3 linked regions of the Elephas maximus indicus genome follow. The protein of the gene in region 3 interacts with the protein of the main gene of each other region in a biochemical or structural test. Links are inferred from orthologs where the notes say so. Each region holds a gene or a part of one and is shown on either strand. Other genes may lie near its edges.

Region 1 (7,810 bases), on a different chromosome or scaffold from region 3:
CACAGCTCTCGCAAAACAGCACAAGGGGCTCGTGCTTGTGTACGCTGCAGTACACAGTGCGCTCGCCATCCCGCGTCTTAGCCGGCCCTGTGGAGTGAACACAGTGAGGCAGACACAGGGAACCCTGGCCTGGGCCACCCCCACCTCCGGAGCCACGCAGAGCAGCCTCTGGCCAGGTTTGGAGTCTGGGCACATGGCAGTGTGGGGGCAGGGACTGCAGCTCTGCAACCTGATCTTGCTTCCAGCACCCTCTAACCCAACCTGACCAGCAAAATCTTTATAAGCCCTCCCACTTGTAGGGCTGACAACACAGAATAAACAGAGGTAGACCCAATAACATGACTGAAAAATTGGCAGTTCAAACCCACCCAGCAACTCCATAGGAATAAAACCTGGTGATCTGCTCCTATAAAGATTACATCCTACAAAAACCCATGAGGCAGTTCTACCCCATCACAAATAATCACTGTAAGAAGAAACCAACTGGACGACACTAACAAACAACACGGCTTCTACCAGAAGACACCTCCCTGTGCCATTTCCTCCGTGGATACGTCCTACCTAGGCAGACAGACTCCAAAAACTCCTCCAACCCACCTACTAACAATGTCATCCACAACAAATATCCTTTCACCACAGAATGGGATTCTGACCACTGAGCTATCACCCCAAGTGCAGGATTAAAAGTGAACTGGGGGCCTAAAGAAGCCTGAGCTCATTCATGAACAATTTCCTTAGAAACCATGCTCTCTAAGATCACAAGCAACCTACCAGCCATGGGCCAAAGGAACCCTAACAGCTGCTTACCTGAATCCAGGAAAAACAAGATGTTGGACTGGGACCCCGCAGACAGCATCAGGCCATTCTGGGAGAAATTCCCAGTGCTCAGAGTAAAGCCACCCAAGGAACAAAGATGAACCCAGCCCCCTCCCCTGAGAGCTGCTTATACATGCTCCCTTTCCTTTTTTCCAATGCCAATCACAACCTGGCTGCACCTGTCAAATCTAAAGCACAAGGCATAGGCCACCTGGTCCTAGACCCCTCACTGTACCAACATCTCCAACCAGACCCAGGTCCCGCAGCAAAGCCCTGTCCATCCCTCAGCCACCTCCATTCTCATCTTCCCACAGATGCTGTCCGCTAAGCTATGACGAATCACAAGATACCTCCTGAAAACCCATCTCATGAGGAATTTGGGGATAAAAACCAGCTACAATAGATTCCCGAGCCCCTTTTCACATAGGAACCAGTGCACAAAAAAATCTGTAAATATCTAGTTGAACCCTGGGCAGAACGCAGCTGAAGTGCCTCTGGGACACACCGTCACTGACAGTTCATGGGCGCTCACAGCTCAACAATGTGCCCTGGCCCCAAAGACTCACTTTCCACATAAAGCTTCGAGCCAGGGTGCCAGGGAACCCCAAGACAGTGACCCTTCACATCCCTCATTAAACACCACACCTTTCCCCAACTATGCAAGCTGTTCCCTCCACCTGGAAGGCCCTATTCCGACAGCACACTTCCTCCCTGCCTGGAGGCCTCTATGATGAGCATCACCCGGACCACCAACTCCCTCATGCCATGAAGCTCACTGACGTCCACTGTGATCCTCCAAGATCTTTTCCCTACCACCAGGACCCCTGGAACTTGCACACCAGAGCCCCACCTTCCTGCTTTCAAGCAGTCTTAGCCCTGGGACCCTTCAGAAACTAGCCCCTAAAGAAACACGTAGGGAATCAGCCATGAGATGTGACCAGCAGCTGAAGATTTAAAACACTTGCCTCCTCTGCACGTCCCTCTCTAGAGACCCAGGAATGTTCCTGCCACCCCATCTGCCCCATATACCAGTGGATCGCACAGTGTGGTCCTTGGTGTACTTCACCCGCTGGTGTGCCTCCACACATGTCTCACAAAGCGGTTCGGAGCATTCCACGCAGTAGCTGGTGGCGGGTGCATTATCCTCACAGCTGGTGCAGCACTGCTAGGCAAAGACAGAATCAGAAGGAGTGGGACCACCTAATGATTCCCTGTCTAACAAAGCACTACCTGAGACAACGTGCAACCCTTTCTCAAGCCAAGGCAGCCTGCCCAGAGCAAAAAGCGGGGTGGAGAATAACACCTGGTGTTGCTGTTATGTTCCTCCTGGCCTGGTGACCCCTCCTCTCGGGGCCTACCCAAAGCCACAGGCCTCCTGGAAGTGACGAGAACAAGACACACACCTGATTAGCATCCTGGGAATCGGTGGCAGCCTTGCTACCACTGTCGCGCATAAAATAGTTTTCCACGATATCTTTGTAGAAGCACTGCTGCTTGCACACGGGACAATCCACCACTGCAAAAGGTGAGAAAAACACCGTGTCTGGGCGGTCCCATTCTCACAATAGACTCTGAAACCGGGTACCCACACCCAACCAGGAAGCCCATCCTCTACCTCGGATAATCCCACATCGCTACGCAGCCCCCGTGCAAGCCCCCATATCAGCGTCCAGACCCCATTCCCACCCCAGGCAGGCTTCCACCCCCGACCCCACCTCTCCCCTCCAGCAGCGCTTCCGGCGCCCGGGGCCGTCCTCCGCGAACTCACCCGCGCTGTCCCCCGCCGCGCCGCCGTCTCCTGAGCTATTGGACGCGGCGGGTGCGGCAGGCCCGAGGCAGGCGTTGCAGGCCGAGTGCAGGCAGGGGAGCAGGCGCGGCTCCCGCTCGGGCCGCAGGCGCTCTCGACACAGGCCGCAATGCTCCAGCAGCTCCAGCGCCTCGCCACCGCCCGAACCGGGCGACGACGCCGAGGCCGAAGCCGAGCCTGCAGCCGATGAGGCGGCGGACCGCTTCTCGCCACCCGCCGAGCCCTCGCCTGGGCCGGGGCTACCCGACGCAGCCGAGGCCGCCGCCGCCGCCGCCGCTGCCGAGGCCGCCATTCACACACCGCCGGGGGCGCCCAGGGGGGAGGAGGGGCACGGGGCCTGCCGCGCAGGCGCAGACAGGCTCGCCGCCAACGGCCGCGCCGCTGCTTGGGCCGCCGCCGCCGCCGCGAGGCCGAGCGCTGCTGCGCACCGACTGGGCCGCTGCCCGCCGCGCGCGGGGCGCTGCCGAGGCCCGGCCGGCCGCTGCCTGCTCGCTCCCCGCCGGCCCGCCGCGTGCACAGCCGCCGACACCGCCCTCGAGCCCAGCTCCACGCACACGACCGCTCGCCCGCGCGCCTGCTCGCAGAAAGAGCCGCGGCTGGGGGGCGGGACAGAAATAACTGGCGCCGACGCCTCCGCGCACGCGCGCTGGGCACCTTGCGGCCCGGGGGCGGGGTCTGAGCCTGCCGCCGACTGCGAGGTTGCTAGTACGCAAGCGCCCCTCTCACCCCCCACCAACCATCCCCTCGGCGCGACTCGAGCGGCATGGGCGGGGCGCAAGACGTCACCGCCGCAGTTTCGGCGGCAGGCGGGGCGAAAGCACCGATTCTTGCGCGTGCTACCCGCCCCTCCAGACCCACCTCCAGACCGCACCGAGGCTACCCGCTGTACTGCGCACGTGCGTGGGCAGCCCGGGACCCCCCCCCCCCCATTTTACCCCACCTTTCGGCCGGCGAGAGATATCGCCAAGCCGCTGCGTCACCAATAGCTCCTGGAAGGGCCCGGGCCTGTGGGCGGGGCTCCATCGGAGGAGGAGGCAGCTCCTAAAGGGGCGAGCCACTTCGGGGCTTTAACCTTTCTGCTATAAATATGAGAAACACAGAAAGCTACTTAAATTAAATGTAGAACTCAAGGGGTTACGGAGCAGCGAGTCCGTGAAATCCCACCCGGCCCTCCACTGGCGCTCCTTCCCCATCTCCTAGCCAGCCTCTCTCCTGACTTTGATGCTTTGCCATTTGTCCTCTAGGGGGACGGACATCCCGACCCTCAACAGTGGGGGAAATCTTGTCTGAAAAGGGAAGCTGGGCCTGTGTGTGCGGGGTATCCTGTCTGAAGGGGGAGCAGAATCTGGGTGGGGAGAATCCTGTCTGAGAGGGGAAAGAGTCTCTGTGAGGGGAGAATCTTGACAGTAGATACAGAGACTCTGAGTGTGTGTGGGTGGGAGGGTAATCCTCTGAGGAGGGAATAGGGTCTGTATGTGTAATTCTGTCTGAGGGTGGAAACGGGTGTGTGTGGTGGGAAATCCTGTCGGGGCAGGGAGGGGGGAGAAAGGCTGTCTGAGAATGGAAGCAGGGTTTGTCTGGGTGGAATTCTGCCTGAGGGAGAGGCAGATCCTGTGGGAAGGGGAATCCTAAAATGCTAAGGAGGGAGTGCTAAACGGAGCGCACGGCCTTGGGGGCGTAGGGGAAATCCTGTCTGAAGAGAGTGGCGCAAGAAACACGAGGGATGGACATGGCGCTAGGAGTGGGCCCTGGCCCCCTGCGCAGTGACCGCAGCGCGCATGACAAGGCCTGCCTCTGTACCCTCGGGTCCTGAGGCCTCGCGTCTGAAATGCGACGGCAGGTTGGGGGAGGGAGGCTTCCTGGAGGATGGGGTAGGCCAGCAGGGTCAGCGAGCCCAGGCCGGAGCCCCAGAGTGCGCACACTTTAAGGCGGGGGCCGGACAGTCTTGGGGCGGGGTGGGGGGCGCCATCTACCCTCCATTCCCCAAGCCGTGCGGGCGCACGTGGCGGTGGCGGAGGGGCGACTGGCCGCTGGCCCAAGGTTGCCTTTTGTTCCTCTCCGGGGCTCGGGGTCCGCAGAGCTTTGTTCCCGCCCCTGCCTTTGTTCCAGCCCCAGCGCCCGGCCCCCCAAATTCGGGCCCCGCCCTGCTCCCGCCTCTGCGCTGCGTCATCGCCCGCCACGCCCCCTCCGCAGGCTGCCCGGCTCCACCCGGTGCGGTGAAGGCCACGCCCCACTGACCGGCCCCTTCTCACCTCCTCCCAGCCACCTCTGATAATTCGGAACGAATGTGAATGGCTGGCGGCGCACAGGGTGAGGTGGGGGATCCTTTAGATATATTCACTGAGCGTGTTGGACCGCAAAATCACAGGGGTGAAGGGGTGACCCATGCCCTAACCTGAGCCCTGGGGCAAACACTGAGGAAAGAACCAAACCCACTGCCATGGAGTAGATTCCAACTCAGAGTGACCCCATAGAATTTCCAAAGCTGTAAATATTTACAGAAGCTAACTACCACATCTTTCTCCGACGAAGCCTCTGGTGGTTTCCAACGGACCTTTTGGTTAGCAGTCAATCGACTTAACCACTGCACCACCAGACACTGGGGAGGGAAGGGCGATCAAAATACCAGTTGGCCTGGAGTCAGTTCCAACTCATGGAAACTCATGTGTGTTAGGGTAGAACTGTGCTCCATAGGATTTTCAATGGATGGTTTCTCAGAAGTAATTAGCCAGACCTTTCTTCTGAGGCACCTCTGGGTGGACTTGAATCTCTAACCTTTCTGTTAGCAACTGAGCATGTTAACCACATTAACCATTTGCACCACCTAGAGACTCTTCAAAAAGATTGATGGTAGAGGATGTGGGAATGGAGCTTATGAAAGAAGAAATTCTTATACTCTATTAGAGTAAGAGACAATAAGTTTTACTGAGGAATAAAGCAACTCAAGTTGGGCAGCTCAAGGTGAAAGTGCAAGGTGCTCCTTTGAGCAGAACAAAAGATGGAGTTTTTATACTTAAAGTTCAACATGGCTAAAACCGTAAATATCTTGCAGAACAATTTTTTCCACATAGCAGTTAATTTTCTAACATACATTTTCTAAGAACGGTCTGTACAAGCAATTTTCTAGAACAGTTTTGTCACATGCTTCCTGGATGTAAAAATGGTGTGGGGGTGGTGTTTGACCTCCTCTAACTTCAGGAGGGGGAAGGAGAATCAAGATCAACAGCCCAAGGCTGTTTCCTTTGAGGAGGAAGCCTTCATGCTTCCACCCCCCAACCTTTTTACCAGTTCTGATACCAACCATCTCTCCCACAGCACCCTCTACTCCTCTGCTAGGTCCGATAACTCCTTGCAACAGCCACACAGAACTCACAGCCAATACTCATGAGTAAGCGGTGTATTAGGGAAGTAACAGGTTACAATTCAGGATCAGAAACAACTCACGATACAGTTCTTCCGTCAGGACAGCTTTTTTACCGCTGTACCTGCAGGCATGTCTATCTCTGGCCCTTGGCCTCTCTGCCCCATGGCCCCTCAGCCTGTGCTCTGCCCTGCTCGGGCAAGTGTTACAAAGCTATTTTAGCTCTGCCAGTAAGTGCCCAGAGGCACCCCATTCCACCAGCAAGCCTCCTGCCAGAAGGTGCTCAGCTTTCTCATTCACTGAGTTGGCACACACAGCAGTCTGTCTCCTGCTAGTCTCCTGCATCTGCTGCCTTTGCTGCCGCCATTTCTCTGCACTGCTCTCTCTGTCTCCTGGGTCTAAGAGGGTCTCACCACAGAGATCCTGGGTCCAAAGGATGTGCTCCACACCCATCTCTCCTTGGTGGTAGTCAAGTCCCTGCTCTGCTCAGGAATTGGCTCTCTTTTAAGCCTAACAGGATGGCAAAACTGACCAATCCCCTCATTAGGGTTCCATACATCTTCTTTGCATCATCCCATCCTAAGAGTGCCATGCACCTTATTTACATTATTAGCAAGCTACCCAATCCCCATAGTGGGCCACAAGCACCTCATTTGCATAGTCCCACTAGTCTATTGGTGCGAGTTACAAGACCATGGTGAGAAAAAAAAAAAAAAAAACCTGTTGCCATTAATTTGATTTTGACTCATAGCAAACCTATAGGACGGAGTAGAACTGCCCCATAGAGTTTCCAAGGAGCGCCTGGTGAATTCAAACTGCCCACCTTTTGGTCAACAGCTGTAGCACTTAACCACTATGCAACCAGGGTTTCCAAAAGGCCATATAAAACAACCCAGTGCACCACACTGGAACATTCTAGGTACATATCTTCTGAGAACGAACACCATGTCTCCTTCTGTCCCACATGTCATGGATTGAATTATGTCCCCCAATGATTCCCAGTATTCTGTGGTTGTCCTGTATTTCATGATTGTAATTTTATGTTAAAGAGGATTAGGGTGGGATTCTAACACCACCCTTACCCAAGTTACATCCCTGATCCAACGTAAGGGGAGTTTCCCTGGGATGTGGCCTGCACCGCCTTTTTTCTCTCAAGAAATAAAATGAAAAGGAAGCAAGCAGAGAGTGGGGGACCTCATAACCACCAAGAAAGCAGTGCAGGGAACAGAGCATGTCCTTCGGACCCGAGGTTCCTCCCTTTGGACCTGAGGTTCCTGCACTGAGATGGTCCCAGACCAAAGGAAAACTGATGCATCCCAAGGACCTTCCTCCAGAGCTGACAGAGAAAGAAAGCCTTCCCCTAGTGCTGGGGCCCTGAATTCCGACTTTAAGCCTACTAGACTGTGAGAGAATAAACTTTCCTTTGTTAAAGCCATCCGCTTGTGGTATTTCTGTTATAGCAGCACTAAAAAAAAAAAACAAACTAAAACACCATGTGTTGGCCAAGAGTAGTCCAGGGTAACCCTTCCTTGTAAGTTCAGTCTGAATACTTCTGTACTTTGAATATTTGCTAGCACAAGCTGAACGACCAGAACGAAAATAATGAGAATGTTCACACATTATGAAGTACTTGATCCAATGTCACTGAACAATTTGTGTAGAAATTGTTGAATGGGAACCTAAATAAAAAAAAAAAACTGTTGTATAAATCTTCTGCAGTGCAGTGAATTACTTAATATGGCCCTTCTAGCCATAATCCTTGTGATTCCCACACAATGATTGGGTGGGACTATGCAAATAAGGTGCTTGTAGCCCCACCAATGGGA
Region 2 (7,573 bases), on a different chromosome or scaffold from region 3:
CACTGTGGCACAGGGGAAAAGTGGCAAAGCCAGGACTCCAACCTGGGCAGTTGGCTTCAGAGCCCTTGGTGAAGAGATATCCCTGGACCTCAGCATCTTCAGTGGCAGAATTTTGTTCACCAGACATCCACTCAGCACACTTAGGCCCTTGCAGACTCCCCATATCAGATAAACTGCTAAGTACTGGGTAACACGGGAACCGCGGAAGTAATCTAGGCTTACCTCCTAACATTCTGAGGGTCCACAAGGAGTGGCAGAGGTATGCCTCTAATTTAGATGTTCACCTAAAGAAATCGTTACTGACAGGAAAAGTGTGGAGACCATTGCACTGCCCTATACCTGATGATGTATACCTGATGATGTCACTACCCTGATCAAAAATCTCCAAGAACCATCTCTCCTGAAGGGCTTGCAAACAAAATGATTTCAGGTGGCACGTGGAGGAACACTTAGGATTTTCATAATTATTGATTTAAAGGAAATGAGAGGGAAAATATATTACCAGCGGAGCCCTGGTGGCGCAGTGGTTAAGTGACATAGCTGCTAATGAAACGGTCGGCAATTCAAATCCACCAGCAGCTCCCTGGAAACTCAATGGGGCAGTTCTACTCTGTCCTACAGGGTAGCTATGGGTTGGAATTGACTTGGCAGCAAAGGGTTTGGTTTTTGTATATATAACCAGCACTTCAAACCTGGGGTTTCTGGGATATAGGATGGTTCTAGGTTCTATTTTTAGTGTTTTAAACACTTAATTTACCAAAAAAAAAAGTGAACAACATTAAGGCCAACAAATTCGAGTGCTACTGTATGTCAGGTGCTGCAGTGTTAAGGTGCTTCCCATGTTATCTCAGGCAATCCTCAAAGCACCCATTTGAGCTGGCCTCATCATCATACTTGTTTCACAAGTGGGGGGACCTATTGTTCAGTGCCTTACTCAAAACCAGCTAGGATTTCGAGGACTGGATGCAAATTCAGCAGGTCTGATTCCAGAACAAGCACTTCTCATCACCACCCCATACTGTCCACACATGGCATCCTACACCCCTATTCCAGGGGGTGCTGAGATTTGGGAAACACTGGCCTGGAAAGTCAAAAGACCAACAACAGCAGCTAACCCTTACCGCTTACAACCCACCCCCAGTCCTAAGCCAAGCACTTCACACACATATTCATTCAATTCCCCCAAAGACCCACTAGTTCACTTCAAAAATGTTCACGGGGGGGGCCTACTGTGTGCCAGGTCCAGGGTATACTGCACAGAACCAGGCAGACATGGCCCCTGTTCTGATGGGACTCGAGTAGGATGGACGTGTAACTACAAATTGGGATAACTGCTACAATGGAAAGGATCAACGTGATGTATCAGTGTGTAGCAGAAGGGAACAATGACCAGTCCGGGTGGTCAGGGAAGGTGTCCCTGAAGTGGCATCCCTGCCAGTCAAAACACAAGCCTGGACATCTTCCCTGATCTTGCATGAATGCCACCTCTTCCAATGCAAGCCTCCCTAATCTCTGGTTCCCCCAACTCCCCTGCACTTCCACTGTGTCCCCCTCACAGGGCACATGTGAATGACAGGCCACGGAGGGTTGATCCCTGCACACCCCATCCCACCCACTTTTGCTACATCTACTTATACCTGTTTCTCCTACAAAACTGGAGAGACTTCTTGAGGGCAGCCAAACCCAAAACATGGGGCACCCAGTAGAGATTCAACAAATATTTGTTGAGCAATGAAGAAGGAGATCAGACCATACAATAAGAATAGTGCTTCATACCTGCCAGGAACCATTTTACAGGCTTTCACCAGCCCCATCTGTGAAATTATCCCCATTTCACAAACAAGGAGCCTAAAAGGCCCAGAGAGGTTAAGCCCCTTGCCTAAGGTCACACAGCTAAATGACCAACAGCGCCAGGAATCAAACTTGAATCCAGTCTGTCAATTCAAACTGAAAGCTTGTTTCAAATTCCTGGGAAGCGCCTCTTAACACTTATATCCTTTCTACTCTCCCGAAAGATCACTCATAAAAAATTACAATTGGTATGTCTGAGATCAGCACGAAACACTTGCCTGAAAAGTCTACGTTTTAAATAACTGCCTTAATCTGGAAAATAAATTGGGAGAGTGGGCAAAGGATACAAAGCAAAAACAATGTTTCAACAGCAAATCTTTCCCTCCATCCTCTCCACCCCCCCCCCCCGCCCGCTTGCCGCCGACCTCTCCCCTCACTTCAGGGCAGTGTTTTGAAGTCACTACCTGCAAGAAATTGGGGGAGTTATTTACGTTTCCTTGAAAGTCTGGAATGACGTGCTATTTATAAAATTTTAGGTCGGTTTTCTGATTACCAAAAGGGCTGCTAACGCTCATGTCCAGGCGACAATGGGCACATGTGTGTTTTTTCATACTCAGCCCCAACCACAGCCTCGCCAAAAAGGCAACATTCAGGTCGGACCCGCTACAACGTAGCCAGAAAAGCCCCGACGCCTAGCTATTGTTGCAGCCTCCCCAGAGAACGCGACACCGGACGGACCCCCGGCCCGTCGAAGGGGAGGCGAGCTTTGTCCGACGACCCCGGCGAGAGCGCGCGCGGGGGGCGCGCGGCCTCCACGAGGCCCGGGCCCCCCTTCCCTGGGCCCGCCCGCCCGCGGATACTGTAGTCACCGCGGCCTCCCTACACTGTGGCCTTCCCCGCGCGCGCGGCGGCGGGCCCGGGCTTCTTGACCCTCGGGCGCCGCCGTACCCCGGCCCCGCTCCGGGCGCCGGCGGCCCCCTCCCCCCTCGGCGCCCCGGCTCCATTCAAACCGTCTTCCCAAGGCCCGCGCCGCATTCCCCTCGCAGCCCGCGTTCCTTACCCGAACTGCCGGCGGCGTTGCCTTCCCGGCGCCGCCCCCGCCCCTCCGCGCGGGGCCGGGGGCACAGTGGGCGTCTCGCCTCTCTTCACGAAACAAAGAAACAGCCGCCGCCGAGCGAAGGGAAGCCTTGAGCGCGCGCCCGCCTCGGCCGCCCCCCCACCGCCCGCGCCCCCGCTGCGCGCGCGTGCGCGCCGACTTCCCTCCCCCCACGGACGGCCTCTTGAGTTCCGCTGGCGCCCGGCCTCGTGCGCGCGCTCGCCGGCCCTTCCACCCCTCGCGCGCGTGCGCGCCCGCGCGAGAGCAAGGGGAGGTGGGCGGGACCCAGAAGGAGCACGCGCGCGCGACGCACCTCCCAGCTCGGTCCGGAATGGCCCTGCGCCTGCGCATAGGCATCTTCCTCCTCCGCACGACGCGCGTCCACACGCCGCTGAGCATGCGCGGAGTGGGTGTCACTGCGGCGGCAGGTTGGGGGATGGGGCAGGGTGGTCGCGGGGTGTGCGGGCAGGGGCTGGCCGAGGGACCCTGAGGTTCGGATACGAACACTCGGAGCCGTGCATGAGGGCGAGAGACAGCCCAACAGGGGCCGGGGCTGCGCAGAGTCGTCCGCGGGCCAGTGACAGGCCTGGGAACCGCTTTCGTCCCTGGCCCGGGGCGGCGGGGCCTGTTCTGCGAGGCCAGACGGGCTCGGCTGTGATCGCCTTCTCTGCAACACCCACCGAGTACCATTAATTAATTAGTTCAGCAGATATTTATAGAGCTGCTACTGCGTCCCAGGCGCTGGTGCTGTAGTACCGAACAGACCTTTGAAATCCCAGCCGGTGTGGAGCTGAGGGTCTAGTGTGGGGGGCGAGGCAGACAAGAAAAAGATAAGTAAAATATGTTGTAGGACGGAGACATGCAGTGTCGTGGAAACTTTAAATAGGGCAAGCTGGGAAGGTCTCGCTGCGAAGACGACTTCTCACTAAACGTGACAGCAGTGAGGGACAGAGCTTGTTCCTACCAAAGGGACTGGCAAGTGGGAAGGCCTTAGGACTCCAGGGCTCTTATCTGTATTTTTAAAATACTTTCAGCGCCACCTCATTCGGCCCCTAACCGGACAAGAGCTCACCAAGGTCAAGTCCCACAACCTGTAGTACTCGGCCTGGGCTGCTCCTCCCACTGCTTCGCCCAGGCCTGCTCTTCCTCATTTTTTAGGTTTCAGCTGACTTTCAGCACTTCAGACCTGCCTTCTTTTTGATCACTGCCTACTTTTCCCTTCCTTCATATTTCATGGATAGTCTCTTTTATCATCTGTCTTCTGCATCTCAATTTAAATGGCAAAGATGTAACCAGTTGTAGTCACTAGCGAATACCCAACATCTAGCTTGGTGCTCTCCTCCCCAACATAATAGAAGAAAAAAAAAAAAAAACCCTGTTGCCGTGGGGTAGATTCCGAGTCATAGCAACCCTATAAGACAGAGCAGAACTGACCCATAGGGCTTCCGATAGTGGATTCAAACCGTGGATCTTTTGGTTAGCAGCTGACCTATTAACACTGCGCCACCAGGGCCCCATACCTCGACATAATAGACACTTTAAAAATTGTATTGAAAGAATAATAGAGACTGTCTCGAGTGTATTTGTGCCAGGTGTCGTACCTACATCAGCCCAAGGTGAGTGACTTGCAGTTTCTAGCAGAAGGTGAGATCTCATGCTGGAGTCCAAAAGACCTGGATTTAAAACCTGACTCCAGTATTATTAGCTGGGTGATACCAGGCAAGTTCCCTTGTCCCATCTACATAACAATTTCTTCACCTGGAAAATGGGAACAATAATGGCATCCACCTCACAGGCTGCTTATAGCAAGTAATGTTGAGTAATGCACAGAAAATGGACAAGTAGGTCTGAACCTCAGCCTCTCTCATTCAAGTAGTATTTGTTAAGTTCCCTCAACATGTCAAGCACTGAGCTGGTCACAGGCCTACAGTGACTTACCAAGGGTTCCTACCCACGGAGCACACAGTCCACATGTTAGTCAACTGTCTCCCATGCTGGTTACTAATATGTGATAGAAAAGAAAAGTCCCCAGGATGCAACGAGATCATAACGGGGTCTTCCTGGATTGAGGAGTCACAGAAACCTCTCTGAGGAAATGGTATTGATGCCAAGAAGGATGAGCAAGAGCAGGGAGAAGGAGGGCACTAGGTAGAGGAACAGGACCCTGAAAAGAATAAGAGCATGGGAACAGAAAAAGACCTCTGTGGCTGGAAGAAATGGTGATGGGGGGCAAGGGGGCGTGGTCAGCAGCAGTCATACCAGGCAGAGCATTGAGGGCTGAGGTGAGGATTCTTAACTTTTTCGGTAGCACAGAGGGAACCAGTTGAATGGCTTTAATCAGGAGAATCCCGTGACTGACTGCTGGGCAGAGATTAGGCTGGAGGAAAAGGAGAGGCAGTGAGAGTCCATTAAGGCTATTGGAGTGGCCCAGGTTGAGAGGATGGCAGCTTAAACTAGAGTGAAGATGGTTGAGATGGAGAGGGGTGGAGGAAATTGGAGGCAGAATGGATAAACCTTGAACGACTGGACCTGATGGGTGAAGGAGAAGGGGGGCTAAGAGTGAGACTTGGGCTTTCTGTGTAGCTGGGACAATGGAGACCTAGAAACCCTGGAAGGGAAGGCTCTAGAATCCTGTTTTGGTTTAGGGACAAGATGCCTATAGAAAACAATTCTATAGACCAGTGATTCTGGGCTATACCTTGGAGTCCCTGGGGGAACTTTAAACAAAGCTGATGCCTTTAGCTCTTATATTTAGGTCTGTAATCCCTTGCAAGTTAATGTTTATGTATGGTATGAGGTAAGGCCAGAAGTTCAATGTTTTCCATAGAGGTAGCCAACCATTCTAACGCCTAGTGTTCCCTACTGTCCTTTTCCCCCATTAAATTACCTTGTTACTTTTGTCAAAAAAAAAAATCACTTGACCATTTAAGTATGGGTCTGTTTCTGGACTATTTATTGATCTATATGTCGACCCTTAAGCCCACACCACGCTGTCTTCAATAATAAGTCTTGAAATGAGGTAGGGTAAGTTTTCCAGCTTTGTTCTTTTTTAAAAAAAAAATATTTTGACAAAGTCCTTTGCATTTCTACCATTTAGAATTTTAGAATCGGCTTGTCAATATCTACCCAAAAACCTGATGAGATTTGTATTAAGATTGCATTGAATCTGCAGGCCAATTTAGAGAGAATTACAGTTTTAACAATATTACGTCTTCCGATCAATGAACATGGTCTATCTCTCCATTTACTTAGGGCTTCTGTAATTTCCCTTAAACTTGCTCTAGTCAAGTCTTTCCTGCTCCACTGAAGTAACTCTTGTCAATGTCACAGGGACCTTCCCATTGCTGAATCCAGTGGTTAATTCTCATCTTCGCCTTCCTTTACCTCTCAGCAACACTTGACCCGTTCCTTCTTCCTTGGAACAACTTCCCCACTTAGTTTCCAGAACACCACACTCTCCTGGTTTTCTTCCCACCTCATTGTCGGCTCCTTCTCAGTCTCCTGTGCAGCTTCCTCCTTGTCACACTAAACTCTTAATAGTAAACTGCCCAAGAATGCAGATCTTGGTCCTCTATCTACATTCACCCCCTTGGCTTCCAGGCATGTGACTTTACAAAACCACCTACATGCCGATGTCTTCCAAGTGTGTACCTCCTGCCTTGACCTTTCCCTTACACTTCATAAAGCTATCTCCCAGACACCACTGCTTGGATGTTTAATAGGTGTTAAAATTTAGGTTCCATCATGTCTCTCTTTTGCTCAGAACCCTCCAGTGGCTTTCTTCTTCCCTAGAGTGAAAGACGAAGTTAGTCCTCACAGTGACATACAGACCCTTTGCTCCCTCCCTGATAAACGATTCCATTTATATAACATTCTTGAAATGACAACATTTAAAAATTGAGGACAGGTTAGTGGTTGCCAAGAGGGAAGTGGGTGTGGTTATAAAGAGCATGTCGTGGATTGAATTGTGTCCCCCAAAATTATCTGTCAACCTGGCTAGGTCCTGATTCCCAGTATTGTACGATAATCTACCATCGTCATCTGATGTGATTTCCCTATGTTTCGTAAATCCTATCACTATGACGTAAAGAGATGGATTAGTGGCAGTTATACTGAAGAGATCTACAAGAGTAGATAGTGTCTTAGGCTAATCTGTTTTCAGATATAAAAGAGAGAAGCAAGTAGAGAGACACGGGGACCTCATACTACCAAGAAAGCAGCCAGGAGCAGAGCGTGTCCTTTGGACCTGAGATTCCTGTGCTGAAATGCTCCCAGACCAAGGGAACACTGATGCATCACAAGGACCTTCCTCCAGAGCTGACAGGGAAAGAAAGCCTTCCCCTGGAGCCAGCGCCCTGAATTTGGACTTACAGCCTACCGGAGTGTGAGAGAATAAATTTCTGTTTGTTAAAGCCACCCACTTCTGGTATTTCTGTTATAGCAGCACTTACTGATGAAGATCAAAGACCACAGATTTCAGTATGGATTACACCTCAACATAAAAGAAAACAGAAATCATCACAACTGGACCAATAAGCAACATCATGATAAACGGAGAAAAGATTGAGGTTGTCAAGGATTTCGTTTTACTTGGATCCACAGTCAACGCCCATGGAAGCAGCAGTCAAGAAATCAAAAGACACATTGCATTGGGCATATCAGCTTCAAGAGATCTCTTTAAAGTGT
Region 3 (7,520 bases):
ACATATTAAGACTCAAGACTACAATCCAATAGCAAGTTGTTTCCCACAAATTTTGCTATTCTGAATATTAACTTAATATCCATCCACAATTTTACTGCAATTATATTAACTATGTTGCAATGCTCAGCTACATTAGGGTTACTGGGTTCATTTGCAATTATAAAAAAAATTAAGTCAAAACACGAAAAGGTGCTTACTTACCTGGCAGTCATTAAAACCTCCTGCCACTGCCATAGCTACTGCTGCTGCTTGAACCGCCATAGCCACCTAAAAATGAAATTTAAGCTCTAATTTTCTCTCATTTGAGACAATGATACATACGGTAAATCACAAGTTCAAGAGAACATTTAAAAATGGCCCTTGCCTAACTTTGCAAGGGAAGTGCTCCCTTTACCAGTGTACTAACTATAGCTACAATTAGCCAATATTACACATACACAATACCTTGGTTTCGTGGTTTGGCAAAGTATTGACCTCCACCACCATAAGGGCCAGAGCTTCTGCCTCCAAAGTTTCCACCCTTCATGGGTCCAAAATTTGAAGACTGATTGTTGTAACTGCCAAAATCATTGTAGCTTCCGCCACCTCCAAAATTGCTTCCTAGGAAGGGAAAGAGGGCCTTTGTCTGTTACTTGGAGGAAGATCACAGTTCCCAGTTCTGTTAGTGTTTACAAGTGAAAAAGGCTGTTTTGACATTTGCTTGCCTTCCTCCCAAAGGGTGGCTCCACCCAAAAGGTGGCTCCAGTAATTGGTAATTCTTCCATTTCCATCTTGTCTAGGCAAAGCATTATGTCGAACAATCCAGCAGCTTGATTATCAACCCAAATCGCCGTAAGATTGAGTGTCAAAAGTTTTAAAGCACAAATTTTAAGAACTTTGTTTCTAGCCTTGAAGGCTTTCTTTTTTTTTTCTTTTCACCTAGGACCACTGCAGACAAGTTTCTTGGATATATCAACTAAGTGCCTAAGATCCCAACAGAATAGTTAAGATGCTAAATCCTGCAACGGAGGCTAATCTAACCCCAAATGAAGACACCACTATCCACTTACTCATCTTTTTGGGAGTGAGGCGGCCCCAGCTTGAAGCTAGGAGGTAGCACAGCAAGTCCATTTACTTTTGAATACCATGCACTGTAACACATAATGCTTCTAAGAGCATCAAGCCCCAAAATAATGGGCAAACTAAGGCTAGTCTAAGCTATCACACCAAAGACTTGGATCACTGGATACCTACCACTACCACCGCCAAAGCCGCCTCCGCCTCCTCCGTTGTTATAGCTGCCACTCCCGCCATAGCCACTGCCCTGGTTTCCATAACCCTGTCCACCACTTCCATAGCCTCTGCTTCCTCCAGAGTAACCAGGACCGCCTCCTCCTCCATAACCACCTACAAGAATACAATTCTTCTCAATAAGACAAAAGTATTCAATGATCAGTATCTGTGCAAGCGCAATGGCTAAAGCCTGCTCACAGCATGCATATTATGGTGAGAATTGAGCTTCCCATGCACTAATTTTAGTCTCTACTAATCTACTCTAAGGATAACGGAAGACTGCCTGCATGTTCCTTATACATATAAAAAACCCACAAATGAACCAAAAAACCATACTCACCGTCATTACCAAATCCGTTATAACCGTCCCCACTGCCTCCATATCCACCACCACCACGGCTGCCACCAAAGCCACCTGAAAAAAGTTAAATTTTAAACGGCAGCCTTTGTTTTGTAAAACAAATCGCCAATCAGTGATTTCACTCATTACCCAGAAGAACTTTTAAAAATAAAACGGGTCTAGTGGTTAAGCACTTTGCAGCAGCAGTTGGAATCCACCAGCCTGCTTTTGTGAAACATTTAGTCTCGGAAACCCCACGGGGCATCTCTACTGACCCATAGGCGTTAGAAGAATAGTACTGAACTTGATAGCAGTAGCTCTTTAGTTACATATTATCATAGATTGCAAAATGGGTGTTAACCTGGGGTAACTAAACTACAAGTTTACTGGAAACTACAATCACACATACCACGCCCACTGAAGTTTCCTCCACGACCAAAGTTGTCATTCCCACCAAAACCACCTCCACGGCCGCCACCAAAGTTTCCAGAACCACTTCGACCTTAAGAAATTAATCATGTCAGACCATACAAACTGGATTACTCACTATTACCCTTAAGGTTTAACTGAGCAACAAACACACCTCTTTGGCTGGATGAAGCACTGGCCATCTCTTGCTTTGACAGGGCTTTCCTTACTTCACAGTTGTGTCCATTCACAGTATGGTATTTCTGAACTAAAAAATGAAAACAAAACCTTAAGGTTCCAAATACCAGGTGAATTTTAGAATCCTTAGTAAGCTCCAGTCATCTAATACTTACTGACAATCTTATCTACGGAGTCATGGTCATCGAAAGTAACAAAAGCAAAGCCCCTCTTCTTGCCACTGCCTCGGTCCGTCATGATTTCAATCACTTCAATTTTCCCATACTGCTCAAAATAATCTCTTAGATGATGTTCTTCAGTGTCTTCTTTAATGCCACCAACAAAGATCTTTTTCACAGTTAAGTGGGCACCTGGTCTTTGAGAGTCCTTAATAGGAAAAACACCACTTAATTATTTAGCAAAAGCTACCCCCAAATTGAGAACATGAAATTAAAAACTAAAACCCACTTAGTGGCACATTTCCAAATAGCTAAAAGAGAAAACTTACTTCTCGTGAGACAGCCCTCTTTGGTTCCACAACTCTTCCGTCTACTTTGTGTGGCCTTGCATTCATGGCTGCATCCACCTCCTCCACAGTAGAATAAGTAACAAACCCAAAGCCTCTGGAGCGCTTGGTGTTTGGATCTCTCATTACCTGAAAAATTTAATTCACTTAGCACATGCTAAGATCCCAGAAGCTATCATCACTCCTACGTTAAGCAAGAAAACGGAAAACTTTATAGTAGGGTAACTACAAAGCCCTCTAAGTTCTCAGTACTGCTTGTGGGGAGTCGAGACCCTATAAGAACACCTGAAGAATCAAACCATTAACAAAATCATACCTTCCAAACTACAATCCTATCAACAATCTTTACATTCAAACACGAACTACGGAAATAACAAGCCAAGGCGGTCTTACTACTACCCTTTTGTCTTACCACACAGTCCGTGAGCGTCCCCCATTGCTCAAAATGGCTCCTCAAACTCTCATCCGTTGTTTCAAAGCTCAAACCTCCGATGAAGAGTTTCCGCAGCTGTTCGGGCTCCTTAGGAGACTAATGGTGGAAAACAGGTGTTAAGTTAGGCTATAAAACGATACTCAGTTTCCCGTTCAGACACATAAAACTAGGCAACAACGTACATAGCATTTATTGTTCCTTCTGGCTGCTCCAAGCCACGTGCTTCTCCCTATCAGGGGTGGCGCTGTGTTGAGTCTGCAATATCCGCGAGAGCTCAAGCTCAAGCGCATGCGCCCCTACGCGCTTTAAAACGCACGCGCAACAATAGGACTTGGCGGGAGGAGTATGTCGCCAACCTAATACTAGAAACTTTAAAAAAACAAACAAACAAACAAACTTGCCCATGCAATCAAGGGAAAAAACAGATCAATCGTGACGTAGAGTTCTGCCGGACTTAACCAGAGCCTGGCCTGATAACGAATGGTTGCCGGATGGCGGCCTCATGGCGACGACGAGGACAAAATGGCGACTCCAACTTTGGGAGGGGTAAGCCCTGGCAGCGGCCGAAGGAACTGCCGCATGGGCTAATTCGAGCGATGAAACGAAGCCGAAATCTACGGAACTCACGAAGGGAAGAGGAACAAAATGAAGTTGATAAGGGTAGCTTACCTCTGACTTAGACATGACGGTAGTAAGAAGAGGTTACTTAACGATGTTCCCTCGGCGGCGTCCACAAGCAGAAAGGAGTAACCTACCGCACGTATCTGCCAGCCTACCTACGGCCTCTCTTTTTTATCCCGCCTCCTCGCTGTCGGCATTGGTAGACACCGCCCCTTCTTAGTTCTGATTGGACATTTGAAATAGCTTCCTCCTACTATTGGTCTATGGTGCCGCACTGCTATGAAACGTCATCCGTTTGGGCGGTCTACGCAGTGTCCACCCCTTGTAGTTCATTGGTTACTGAGTCGTGATGTCTTAACTAGTCTGATTGGCTAGCGGACCTATCATTCATATTTGAAGGTACTTAAGCGTATTTAAACTTTTGGACGCTCCACTCTTCAAATATTACATTCAATTCCTTTTCAAAGCACGCTTACTTTTGTGCGTTAGATAAGAATTTAGACTGTTACAAAATCTTTCGGGTGGGAGGGGTGAAGACTACCTACACAGCGCATGTTAAAAAAAAAAAAAAATACGGTGAGTTTACGCAGGCGCACTAAGAAGTTCCAGCTGCCACTTGGAACATGTGAAATGGCGGTGGGAGAGGCGGTGAACCTACGGCGCCTGCGTACTGGCGGGAGATGCGCAGGCGTAATGGGCGGAGAAAGGGTCCGGTCTCAGGATTGGTCGCGCAGGCGCAGGGAAAGATCCGTTTTGGCGGGCGGCTGGCGTTGCGCAGAAGGCGGCGGCAGCGGTGGCTTGTGGTCCGGCCTCGCCACAGAGGAACAGGAAAGACGTTAGCCTGAGTGATCACTCTCGATCGCTGGTAAGTGCCAGACAATCTTGCCTACCCGTACGAGGTCTTAAATGGATTTCAGCTGGGCCCGTTATTGTGTGAAATGAATGGACCGCGAGGTGGGGGATAGCGGAGGGGGAGCGGCGATTTGGCCCAACCAATAGAAGAGTAGGGGGCGGGATGTTTTAATCTATGTGGCTTCGTCGGAGCTGTACAACCCAAGCGTGTGACTGGCGAGGTTATAGGCCAATTGGGTCTGCCTTCAGCCACCGACTGATAGGTCCTTGGGCCTTCGGAATGTGGGGGGCGGGTTTTCCCCTCCTGAGTAGCGGCTTACTGAACCAATGAGCACGAAGCGCGCGATAGGTTGGGCTCCATCCGAGAAGCGGGGATCGGACCCCAGTTGGGAATGCGGGAGTCGGGCGGTAAATGGATGGACCAAATCTGAAGCCAGTAGGCAAATCGTCCAATCAGCGCTCCAAGAGAAGGAGTCTTACATTTGGGGTTGTAAGGAGGGGAATTCAAAGCCTGTGACGGTGTGTGGGAGTGGATATTTTATCCACAATGACTTCTGTAACGGCGCCTTGAGCCTCCATCCCATACACCTCCCTGGTAGGAAAGCCTTGAATTTGGCATTTTTTCCCACATCGGTACATCCCACCATCCATCACACTAGGTTTTGTGGGAAGCAGGAGAGAAATTTTGATTTGGGCAACTAGCTTCTTTAGATGACTGTTAAAACGAACGGGAAACTTCTGTACGCTGTCCTGGACAGGCATCAGAGGAAAATCTAAATTATGCACGTTTCTATGGACAAATAGATTTGTCTGTAAATACACAGAAAAAGTTGTGGAAAGGTACACAGCAAAGTGTTACTTCCAGGGATATAGTGGGATGGAGGTGGGTTGGGTTGGTCAGTGGGCACTTAGATCTTAATTGTAATATTTAAATCTTTGGAGGGATAATTGTGATTAAGATTAAATGAAAAATAAAGGTAGCTCTTTTTGTGTTTCCAATTGTAATTCAGGTACTTCTCACCACTTCTTTCCTTCTTACACCTCTAAAGAGTCTTGTTTTTCCTTTAAGAACTAAGGTGAGTCTTTTTGTTTTTAGAGGTAAGCGCTCTGATTTTAGTTTTTTTTAATATATTTTATTGTTGTGAATATGTATAGCAAAACATACCCCGATTCCACAGTTTCTGCATGTACAATTTAGTGACATCGGTTACATTCCTCTAGTTGTGCAACTTGTTCTCACGCCCCTTCTTTGAGTTGTTCCTCTCTCAACATAAATTCACTGCATCCTAAGGTTTTTATCTAATCTTTTAAGTTGCTGTTGTCACTTTGATCCCATATAGGTGATTCTTAACAGGGCATAATGCTCAAGGCAGACCTTTATCTGAAGTGATTCTTGGTGTGAAAATAATAGGTAACTTTTTTTGAGGACTTAGTATGTGCTAAGCACTTTACAAGCTTTTTCTATGTCTCCGATGCCTATATTTTGGAAACCCTGCTGGCGTAGTGGTTAGAAGCTACAGCTGCTAACCAAAAAGTCAGCAGTTCAAATCCACTAGGCACTCCTTGGAAACTCTATGGGGTGGTTTTACTCTGTTCTATAGGATCACACTAGTTTTTTTTTTTTTTTTTTAATAGGATCACAGGATTGTTATGAGTCAGAATCGACTTGACAGCAAGGGGTTTGGTTAATGCCTATATCTTAGTCTCTGAGGAATTTTTGTCCCTATATCCTTTTTTTTCTTCCCACACTTTTAAAGATTTTTAGTCTCTCTTTGTTATTCCTTTGACGATGTCTGAATATGGAGAAGAAGGAAGCTGCTTAAGGAGGGTTATATTTAGGTGTTGGGGACAGGAAGACCCATACATCACCTGGATACCTCATTGCCTATTCATTATATTTTCTTCTAGTTTTTTTTTTTTTTTTTAAACAGGACCCATCTATGAAGCAATGTTTATTCCAGGATGTTTTGGAAAAATATATAAATTTTCATTACATATTGGCTGTATCAGACTCTTTACTGCTTTATTATTCACTGATTTATTTAAGTCGAGAGAAAAATACTAGGTAGTGTATGGTGATAAACTTGACTGCATATGAGGTACACTTTAGATACTTTTCCTACTTACTGCTCCCCCAAAATGAAAAATTATTTTCCTTGAACTCATAATGAACAGAGATTTCACATTCTCTGGCACTTGCAAAACAACAAAGTTATAATTCTATCTGTAGATATGGTACGATGCAGTTGCTTAGCTTGTAAGAACTGAAGTGAGCTGAGTTTAGGGTGTTTGTCCCCAATTTATTTAGGTTTAGAAAGAGTACAATCTTGACCTAAAACAGGGTTTCTCAACCTTAGCACTATTGACATTTTGATCTGGATGATTCTTTATTGTGGGGGGGCTGTCCTGCGCGTGCCCTGGTAACGCAGTGGTTACGAGCTCAGCTGCCAACCAAGAGGTTGGCGGTTCAAACCCACCAGCCGCTTCATGGCAGTCTGTTTCTTCAAAGGTTACAGCCTTGGAAACCGTGTGGGCAATTCTAGTCTGTCCTATTGGGTCATAATGACTCAATGCCAACAGGTTTGTTGTTGTGTGTTTTTTTTCCGACCTGTGTATTGTAGAATGTTCAGCAGCATCTTTGGCTTCTATCCACTAGATGCCAGTAGCAAGTCACCTATGCTCCTCCCCACCCCCAGTTCTGACCACCAAAATTTCTCCAGACCTTGCCAGATGTGATGGGGAGGGGGCAAAATCTCCACCAGTGTTGAAAACTGTTGTTCTAAAATGAGAGATGCTGGAGTTGATTATCTCTTCAAAATATTTTATTTTACCCACTCAAAATTAAAGAAGGGAGCAGATGAAGTGTTTAGGGAGTGGCTTAAGTTTTCACT

Evidence for each region.
Region 1: the proteins of CBX5 (region 3) and TRIM28 form a complex in vitro, tested with the Homo sapiens proteins (6 studies listed by BioGRID, with this or other methods). The link is inferred for Elephas maximus indicus from reciprocal best matches to the Homo sapiens genes CBX5 and TRIM28.
Region 2: the proteins of CBX5 (region 3) and SMARCA4 form a complex in vitro, tested with the Homo sapiens proteins (2 studies listed by BioGRID). The link is inferred for Elephas maximus indicus from reciprocal best matches to the Homo sapiens genes CBX5 and SMARCA4.

What each region holds. Positions count from the first base shown.
Region 1 is NC_064829.1:87,269,589-87,277,398, forward strand, and holds the start of TRIM28 (transcription intermediary factor 1-beta), read right to left. Parts: upstream 3,005-7,810; 5' UTR 2,916-3,004; coding exon 2,585-2,915; intron 2,333-2,584; coding exon 2,220-2,332; intron 1,979-2,219; coding exon 1,846-1,978; intron 88-1,845; coding exon 1-87. UniProt on the Homo sapiens protein: Nuclear corepressor for KRAB domain-containing zinc finger proteins (KRAB-ZFPs).
Region 2 is NC_064821.1:28,999,655-29,007,227, reverse strand, and holds the start of SMARCA4 (transcription activator BRG1), read right to left. Parts: upstream 3,005-7,573; 5' UTR 2,852-3,004; intron 1-2,851. UniProt on the Homo sapiens protein: ATPase involved in transcriptional activation and repression of select genes by chromatin remodeling (alteration of DNA-nucleosome topology).
Region 3 is NC_064822.1:109,774,545-109,782,064, reverse strand, and holds the start of CBX5 (chromobox protein homolog 5), read left to right. Parts: upstream 1-4,506; 5' UTR 4,507-4,642; intron 4,643-7,520. Other genes in the region: HNRNPA1 (heterogeneous nuclear ribonucleoprotein A1), read right to left, coding at 212-267, 445-600, 1,234-1,386, 1,613-1,687, 2,022-2,114, 2,196-2,288, 2,374-2,584, 2,706-2,852 and 2 more. UniProt on the Homo sapiens protein: Component of heterochromatin that recognizes and binds histone H3 tails methylated at 'Lys-9' (H3K9me), leading to epigenetic repression. In contrast, it is excluded from chromatin when 'Tyr-41' of histone H3 is phosphorylated (H3Y41ph).